Oryzias latipes: one gene and its partner. The protein of the gene in region 1 purifies or fractionates together with the protein of each later gene. This does not show direct contact. Links are inferred from orthologs where the notes say so. Each region holds a gene or a part of one and is shown in the gene's direction. Other genes may lie near its edges. The genes, in order: lztfl1 and bbs7.

Evidence for each region.
Region 2: the proteins of lztfl1 (region 1) and bbs7 purify together in Homo sapiens (affinity purification with mass spectrometry; 3 studies listed by BioGRID and IntAct, counting the BioPlex papers as one, with this or other methods). This does not show direct contact. The link is inferred for Oryzias latipes from reciprocal best matches to the Homo sapiens genes LZTFL1 and BBS7.

Annotation. Positions count from the first base shown.
Region 1 is NC_019878.2:21,515,937-21,520,403, forward strand, and holds the start of lztfl1 (leucine zipper transcription factor-like protein 1), read left to right. Parts: upstream 1-1,549; 5' UTR 1,550-1,803; coding exon 1,804-1,806; intron 1,807-2,085; coding exon 2,086-2,210; intron 2,211-2,677; coding exon 2,678-2,872; intron 2,873-4,467. Other genes in the region: dnajc13 (dnaJ homolog subfamily C member 13), read right to left, coding at 33-58. UniProt on the Homo sapiens protein: Regulates ciliary localization of the BBSome complex. Together with the BBSome complex, controls SMO ciliary trafficking and contributes to the sonic hedgehog (SHH) pathway regulation. May play a role in neurite outgrowth. May have tumor suppressor function.
Region 2 is NC_019868.2:200,985-205,249, forward strand, and holds the start of bbs7 (Bardet-Biedl syndrome 7 protein), read left to right. Parts: upstream 1-1,392; 5' UTR 1,393-1,849; coding exon 1,850-1,885; intron 1,886-2,020; coding exon 2,021-2,086; intron 2,087-2,457; coding exon 2,458-2,520; intron 2,521-2,587; coding exon 2,588-2,763; intron 2,764-2,881; coding exon 2,882-3,068; intron 3,069-3,174; coding exon 3,175-3,247; intron 3,248-3,345; coding exon 3,346-3,453; intron 3,454-3,568; coding exon 3,569-3,699; intron 3,700-4,229; coding exon 4,230-4,265. Other genes in the region: tmem33 (transmembrane protein 33), read left to right, coding at 1-86.

The DNA of each region.
Region 1 (4,467 bases):
AAACGCCTTCTTTGAAATTGTGAAGGACTCACCTCGACTGAAGGTAAAGAGGAAACATCTTGGCTTCTTGTACTCACTGAAGTTGTTCTCTGAACTTGAGGAGCAGAGCCCTAAGATCACGTTATAAGACATGCGCTGCCCGTTAGTCTAATTTAATTACAGCTGCAGAAAAATGAGGAAAAGAAGAGTTTCCTCCTCTTTTCCTGCTTGAACTCTCCACTAACTGGACAGAACGTAAAGGATTCGGGGCTGCAGAGACCGAGGATGAGAAGGCTGCCTCACAGGTTCTCTGTTAAGACTTGATTTGACTCACATGATGTTAAGTGGTTCAACCCACAAATCTGCAATGAGTCTCAATAGGTATTCAACTTAGAAAGCAAGAATTGGAGTAATAAACATCCTTAAATCTAGACCAAAATGCAGAAAAGTGTTGCCATAAGTAATCGGAATTTTCCTAAATCAACAAGATGAATGGAACTTTAATGGAAGAGCGGTGCTGGGACGAATATTGGAGAATTACTCAATGTTTCTCAATGTCTTAATGCTTAAACTGTATGAATCCTGGACATGTCTTTTCAAAAACTAACATGTTTTAAACAATTTGTTTTTCTTGGGCCACACTGCCATCTGCTGTTGTATAGCACACACATGAATGAATCAATTTGAAACCATGTCATCTTTATTTTTTGTTGTGTGTTTTTAATATTTATAAATAACAACGTAAAAATGTTGACTATATATTATACGTTTTTATTTTGGACAAAATTTAATATTACAAAAGCAAAAAAGACTGAACACTTACTTAAAATGGAACTTCAGAAATATTTGGAAAAAATCTTCAGTTGAAAAAGCCTAAAGGTTAAAAACACACATCTGTAAATGTTTAGGGCTACTTACAGAAACCACACTTCTATCAATGTTGTGTGTTATTCTTCATTCATTGTACCTTTCTTATTGATCTTTTCCTTTGCAAAGTAAATGTAAATAATTTTGTCTTAAATATATTTTTGAGATGTGTTTTTTGTCCTGTCTTTTTATTTAATAATTTATTTAAAAATACAGTACAATAAAAAACATTTTTGAAAGGGGAAACCCGCCTTTCTAAGCCAACCCCTGGTGAAAATGACGCATTCAAAGACGGGCGGACAAACCAAAATTCACAAAAAAGGAACTCAAAAGAAATGACATTCAGCGGTAATAATGGAAGAACATGTTTCGCCCTTTTAGTAATTAAAGTAAGAAGAAGAAATTCGTGCTGTTTTTACATAAAGTATGTGGGGATTTTGTAGTTTCAAATCCCCGTTGTGTGTTTTCTGTGTTTGGGGTTTGCGTCTTCTTTGTGTATGCGTTTTTTTCCCCGGGCACTCTTTCCAATTACAGTCCGGGGAAAACCTTACCTTAACCCAGAAGTAGCTGGGGTATGACTGAATGAATCTCCGTGACCCTGTACCAGACTAGAAAATGGTCGGATGGAATTTGTAGCTGCTTTGCTGATTCTCTCTTCTGCACATACTGTCCGTGAATGCATCAGTCGTAACCAAGGTGATGACGCTGTATTCCGTTACCAAGGCATTCTTAAGGCAAACACTGGTAGCTAGAAAGCTAAGCTAACAGATCTAGAAGATAATCTTTTCTTCTTGTATAACTTTTGTTTAGCTTGTTTCCAAAACAAATACACAGAAAAACAACAACTGCATTTTCTATCCCGCCTGGCTTCACTTTGATTTCATCGTAGCTCAAATTCGGATCAAAATTTCCCCATCGTTTAGATTAGTATTGACGTTAGCATTAGCTGCAGCCACCATGGTAAGTGTTGACCACCTGTTTGCGTTTTCAAGCCCAGAATCTCAAACGTCTTTCGATGTTAGAGCTGCGATCATGTGGAGTTTAGTGGGAAGCTACTGACTGTCTGTTAGCATGCATCTCAATGAAGAGCTAGCAGGGAGACTCAGGCCCTGATACAGGAGAAAATCCGCTTCTTGTTAGCTTATAAGCTAATTATGAATGTTATGACATCTGTTGCCTTCGGATGTGTCTTTATTGGAGTATATTTATTACTTTGATTGATTGTGATTTTCTTTCCAGGCTGACTTGGGATTTAATGAGCACCATCAGAATGAAATGATCAATTACATGAGGTTTGCTCGTTCTAAGAGGGTCCTGAGGCTGAAGACTATCGACTCTTGTTTCGAGGACCTCAAAGAAAGCAGGTGACTAAAGTGTTTCTGATCCATTTTAGCAATGATTTGATTCAGATCTGCGTTTGAACGGTCCGATTCGATGACCTTAAAATCGTTCTAGGACATCTCTAGCCTTTTGAGATAAATACCTGGGTATTGAACAGCGCAGGTGATTTTTTCTAGATTCCTTGTATTTCTTCCAAGACAATCAAGTGTAAATTAAATTGGTGTTCAAACAAACAAGTTAACAATTCTATTCATATTTTAGTTTCATAAAGTTCAGCCCCCTGATATTTTACACATTAGAGCATTCTACCACGCTAACAGTATGATCACATGTACGGTCGATTAGATTCATAACTTGCCTCAGACAGATTTAAGACACTGAATTGTTGATAAATCGATTCTTTGATGACGTTTCTGACCCTGATGACACAAGTTGCTTCCTCCTAAAGCCGCAGAGCTCAACAGCTGTAAATGCTTCTGTCCCCCTGAAGGCTGGTAGAAGAAACCTTCACAGTGGACGAGGTGAAGGAGATGCTGGACGGGCTGCAGGTGGTGGTGCGCGGGGAGGTGGAGGTGGAGCTCATCAACTCCGCTCATACCAACGTGCTGCTGCTGAGGCAGCTCTTCTCACAGGCTGAGAAGTTTTACCTTCGACTCCAGACTGACATTTCTGAGCTGGAAAATAGGTGAGCTACACAGAAGCTGTACTCTCATTTTTTAAAATCTAAAGGATGCTTCAATATGTACTGCAACTCCAACTCCAGAAAATCTGGGAGGTTTTTTTTTTTTTTTTTTTTTTTTTACATTTGAGTGTTTAAATAGAATGAAAACTATAAGACATTCAAACCACAAACTAGTATTTTGCTCACAACAGCACAAAGATCCATTGAAAAACCTTTAAACTGAGAAATTTTACACTGAACATGTATTTTAATATCATGTCCAATACAGGTTTAAAATAATTCAGATGGGGTAACAAATAAACGACAAAAGAAACTTAAGCTTGTGTCAGCAACTGTCACAAGAACAGGCAGACGGTTGGATCCAAATGCAGCAGGTTTATGAGCCCAGCTAAGAGTCCACAAAGTTAAATCTGGGTCAGGTAGGCAGGAGCCAATAAAAGGCATGAGATCATCAGAGGAGAGACAGGGCAGTCAGGATCCAGACGAGAGTTGGGGCAAGCAAACCGCGTGGGACGGACGGACGGACGGACGGACGGACGGACGGACGGACGGACGGACGGACGGACGGACGGACGGACGGACGGACGGACGGACGGACGGACGGACGGACGGACGGCATTGCACAGACAATACTTAACACTGAGCTCAGTGCTGTGCTTAAGTATGCTGTGATTGATTGAGTGAACGAGAGTCAGGTGTGCGGCATCCAGGAAGTGCACGCTGGGGTTGCTGGGAGGTGTAGTGTCAGAGTTCTGACTTCTGACATTCTCAAATGATCAAGAAATGCTTCCAGAAATCCCAGCCCCAAAATGCCAAAGACGTGTCCCATTTTGTAGTCCCATGAGTCCGAATTCTTGTTGGACCTTCACAGTGTTTCTCATGCTATGGAGGGGGGGGGGGGGAGGAGGATTAACATGAAAGTTTTCAAGAACAGCTTTTTTCAAGCCAAATTTCAGGAAGAAAATGCATCAAAACTGACCATAATGCAGAAGCAGGAAGTCTAGATCAGGCAGGAATGAAACCAAAACCCCCAAAAAGTTCATAACCTCAATGACCAAACTAGGAGTTGCTATTTTAAGACTGACAAGAAATTCTAAATTAGCTAATATTTTGCAATAAAGTTTTTTAGATTTTAAAATTCCCAATCAAAACTTTTGTGCTATCTGAGTCTGTGGGTAAAAAAACAACAACAAAAAAACAAGGATTTGTGTGATTGAAAACTCTCTTTTCATTCTTTTGACATTTAGTAAAATCTCAAAATGTTCAGGAATGCTGGTTGCAATCGTTTGAAAGTTTCCATTTGTGAAAAAAATGCAGAGCAAAAGCATCTAACTCTTCCCGTTTTATGTTGTAGCTCCCGTCCTCACTGTAATATCATTTAGATTCAGATCTTCAGGGGACGTTTTCTTTGTCAGGTAAACCGGTCGCCGCTGGGAAGCTACAAAAACGCAGGAACATCACGCATCAGTTTGCCCCAGACCTGGATTCTGCTTAAAAACGATTTATAAATCACAACAAAGGTTTGGTTTTAGTCTTATTTTAGGTGAGTCACTTTGGAAGAAAAATCTGTGAATTTTGAGAACAAATTGAAATAAAAT
Region 2 (4,265 bases), on another chromosome or scaffold:
TGAAGCCTGCCTGCCCTGCCTTCTTCAGGAGGATGTGCCTCAACAGCATCGCCTTCATCAGCCGGCTTGCCCCCACAGGGGTCTGATTATTACCAATTATGTTAGTTTATTCTTTTACTGTTGCTTTTTTCTGTCCTGGTTTGTTGTTTGCTGTGGAACTGGGCAGACGATGCCATCAGTGGAAGGAGCTTGTGTTTTGAGGATCACATTCAGTCTTTTTCTGTGTGACGGTGCAGTCAGAGATCAGCCTCCAATGCTCTGAAGTCCTTTGGGGAGGTTTTGATTTTCATCTTCTTGCTACAGACGGCAATGTCAAAATATCAGCTGTTCACTATTTATTCAAAGAAATGGTTTATTTTATAATAAAACATTAACAGTCTGAACTACTTGAGTATGTATGTATACATGATAAATCTTGTTTTTGTTTGTTTTAATGCTTGACTTCAAGTGATTTCCATTGATACAAAACATGCTTGGCTAATGTTTTTTAAAAAAAAAGCTTTTAGCTGAATAAAATTTGCTGTATTTTTTAGAATAATTGAACCCGCTCAACCGTTTGGTTTAGGATGCGTATTTAAAATGATTTTGACAAAGCATGCCATGTTTGTTTGAATGTTTTTTAGATGGAAAACTTGACCTCCTTTCATTTATGAACGTTCCTAGCTCTCCTCCGCAAGCCTACTTTTTTTAAACCTGTTAAATGTGCTTTTTGCCTACAGTCATGCCACATTTTTGTATAACAAAAATGAAGTTATCTCTTTAATAAATCAGAAGAAATATAAAGAAAATTCACGTTTTTGTTTGTGGTGATATTCCTTGGTCAGGGCTGCAAGTGACCATCGGCCCAGATCTAACGGATGAAAGAAAAACCCATTCCTGCTGTAAAATAGGCTTATTTTTTCCCACACAATACAACAATCTTTTAAGCTGGAACACATTTGGGTTATCCAAAATCAAAAAGGGAAAAGTCTTTTCTATCTACCCCCTTTTTTTATTTTTACAAAAGGAGATCCTAAAAGCGGATAATTTTTCTGTTTTTATTTGTGAAATTGATTAAAATCATTTTATTCCACATTTTCTAAGACTTTTGCAAACCAAATAATAAATAAAAACAACTCTTTTCAAAAATCCTACTGAAAACAGATTTACATTATTTCTGAACAAAGGCAATCAGATGTGTAACATACATGACAACATTAATTTTCTGGATTGTAAACCTTTTTACTCAAAGTTGCTGTTACGTTTATTTATTGTAAATTATAATGCCGGATTTGTATGAATAAAGTTTTTTTTTAAGCATTTGTCTAATTCGGACACAAGGCCACAGTCCCAGCAGCCAATCAGCTTTCAGATTCATCAATTTCCTTCTTAGCCTTTATCCAATTGGATCGTATTTTACAGACTGTAGCGTCGTTGCCATGGGCAACATCACCGAGGCTACACAGTTTATTTGGCAAAATCAATGTTACACGGTAACTCTTCTGCTCTGCATTCATATCCAAACCGTGTTGCTCAGCGCGTAACGGATGTCCACCTTTACATTCTTTTAAAAACGATGACGTCATCTTTAAAAAAAAGGACAGCTGGCCGTGAATTAATCGTGTTAGCCGATTAGCTTGCTAGCTAGCGTTAGCGCATCTGCATAATCCCCTGCTTTCAGATAATCTCAGTCCTAATTTGCACCGGTTTCGTCCTGTAATTTAACCTTATCTAGATTTTCTTTTACCAATTGTAAGCGAACATAATCATAGTCGGATATAAACAGCACCCCGTAATCTGGTCAAAACCAAAGAGTCGCCGGATTTTTCTGTTATTCCCCGACAAAGTGAGGACGAGGTGAAGGCTGAAGATGGAGATCCACCTTAACAGAGTCGATTATGTTCAGGTAACACGACACATTTAAATTGTATTTATTTGTACTTTTCGTCTTGTTATATTACTTTAATGTGGACGTCTGCATTTGGAGCTGGTGATAGTTGAAGTTAATTCAAACCATCACTGCTCCATCGTTCCCCTTCAGGTTGGAGTGACATCTCAAAAATCTATGAGACTTCTTCCAGCTTTGGGGAAAAAGGCAACTCAAAAGGTAGAGTTTGTGCCGTTCTTTTCTGTTCTTTTGGAGTCTCCTTACTAATCTCAAGAATCTCCTTTTCGTGCTTTAAGTTTTTTTTTTAATTGTTTGAACATTTTAAACTGAAGCAAGCTATAAAACAAGACATTCACAACAAAAGCAATAAGAAAATCATTTTGTTCAATTTCTTTCCAACTAAGTTGCATAAAAACATCAAGTTGAATGCAGAAAAACAGCTGTTTAAAGCCTGCATAGCCACAGCCCTCTGGTCTCCTTTGAGATGCTCTCTTCCGGTTGGAAAACAGTTTGCTGACTTTGATACAATTTTAGTAACATCTTCACTAATGATCTGCAATGTTCCCCAATGAAGGATTTTTGTGTTGCAGGTTGCCATTGCTGATCACGATGGGATTCTGACATGTTTTGGGATGAAGAAGGGGGAGGCAGTGGTGGGTTTAGGTTTTACTGACTCATCATTCACTTCTCCTGCTGTCAGTAAAGAGACTCTCATTTCAGCCTGTGTTTAAAACACTCCCGGGCCAGAAGATCTGTAGGATGGACCTTGGAGGTGCTCTTGGGACTCCTCGGGAGAAGATCTTTGTCTGCTCCGGCTCTCAGGTTCGAGGATTCACCAAGAAAGGCAAACAATTTCTCACCTTTGAAGCCAATCTTACTGAAAGCATCAACGCCATGTGAGACGCGCTCTAAAACTTCTCTCATCATTATTATTGTTTGCTCTAGTTGAGTGAGTTGTTCGGAGAAGTGATGGAGAATTGTGAGCTTTCCCCTTGAGTGGTGTTTGTCTTCCAGGTATGTCTCAGGTGCTGACCTTTTTGTGTGTGCAAGTTACATTTACAATCACTACTGTGACTGCAAGGATCAGGACTACTTCCTGTCTGGAGACAAAATCAATGATATCACTTGTGTGTCCTCGGAAAAGCTCCCTCACCTCACGCCGGTCTTGGCATGTCAAGATCGAGTTCTGAGAGTCTTGCAGGTCAGTTGAGCTTTTATTTCTTTATCTTTTCATTTCAGGAAGTGCATGACCTTCAGTCAGTTCCATATAGTTTACTTTCTATCATTTTATCTGCATGTGACTGAAGGGCTCCACACTTGCCTATGACATTGAAGTCCCCGGTCCTCCATCAGTCCTGGAACTGTACAATAAAGATGCAGGCTAGTCCATTTGTTTTTCAGCTGAGTATCCAAAGAATATTATGGCTTCGATCTGCTCTTTTTACACCAGCTTTGGCATTCCATCCATCTTTTCTCAGGGGAGGAGGTCCTTTATGGAACTACAGATGGAAGACTTGGACTTGTCCAGATTGGCGAGCACTCCGCTGTGGCCAAGTGGGAAATTGATAATGACAATAAAAAAGGGGGTAACTCGCTTTTGGATGATCAAATATTTTCAATCACGTTTTCATAGAAGCTGCTTGAGTATCAGACTCATTTCTAAGTGTAGTTCAGCAGCAAACGGCGTTTGTCTCCTGTCAGGGATTCTCTGCGCCGACGCGTACGACATCGTTGGAGACGGCGTGAATGACATCCTGGTGGGCAGAGATGATGGGACGGTGCAGGTTTATGGCTTTGACAGTTCCAATGAGCCCACCTTACGCTTTGAGCATGTAGGTTTCTATCAGGAGTCTTTGTTGTTTTATTCATCTTCCTTCATTCTAATTAACAGTTAATCTCTGTCAACAAATCCATTCTGCCAAAACTGCATCCTTTTGTTTTTAAACCTGAAGCTATTTCAATTCAGTTGTTCGCTTCCTTTCCTCCCTTTCAAGCAATCTTTGATTTAATATCTATTATCTATTATCCTAAGTTTGATACGTCTTTGTATGAATGCTTATTGTATTGTTTTGTGCATTATTCCTTGATTGCTTGAAATAAAGCATTTCAAATAAATAAAAAAAAACAAAAAAGTTACATTTATTTGCGAAACATAAATCCATAACTTTAGTTGTTGAGCAGGTTGTCAAAGCAAAATGATGAATTCATTTTAAATTTCTTATATTTGTCTTTAACAGAACTTTTGTTTGTAGTTGTTGTTTTGGTGTTTAAAAGTCCTGTTATTGTTTGAAAAAGCTATTTATCCTGATCAGCATTTCATGACCTGAGGGCTAAAGCGGAAACGTTTCCTTCCTGGTCACAGGTTTTGTCTGAGAGTGTGACCTCCATCCAGGGAGGC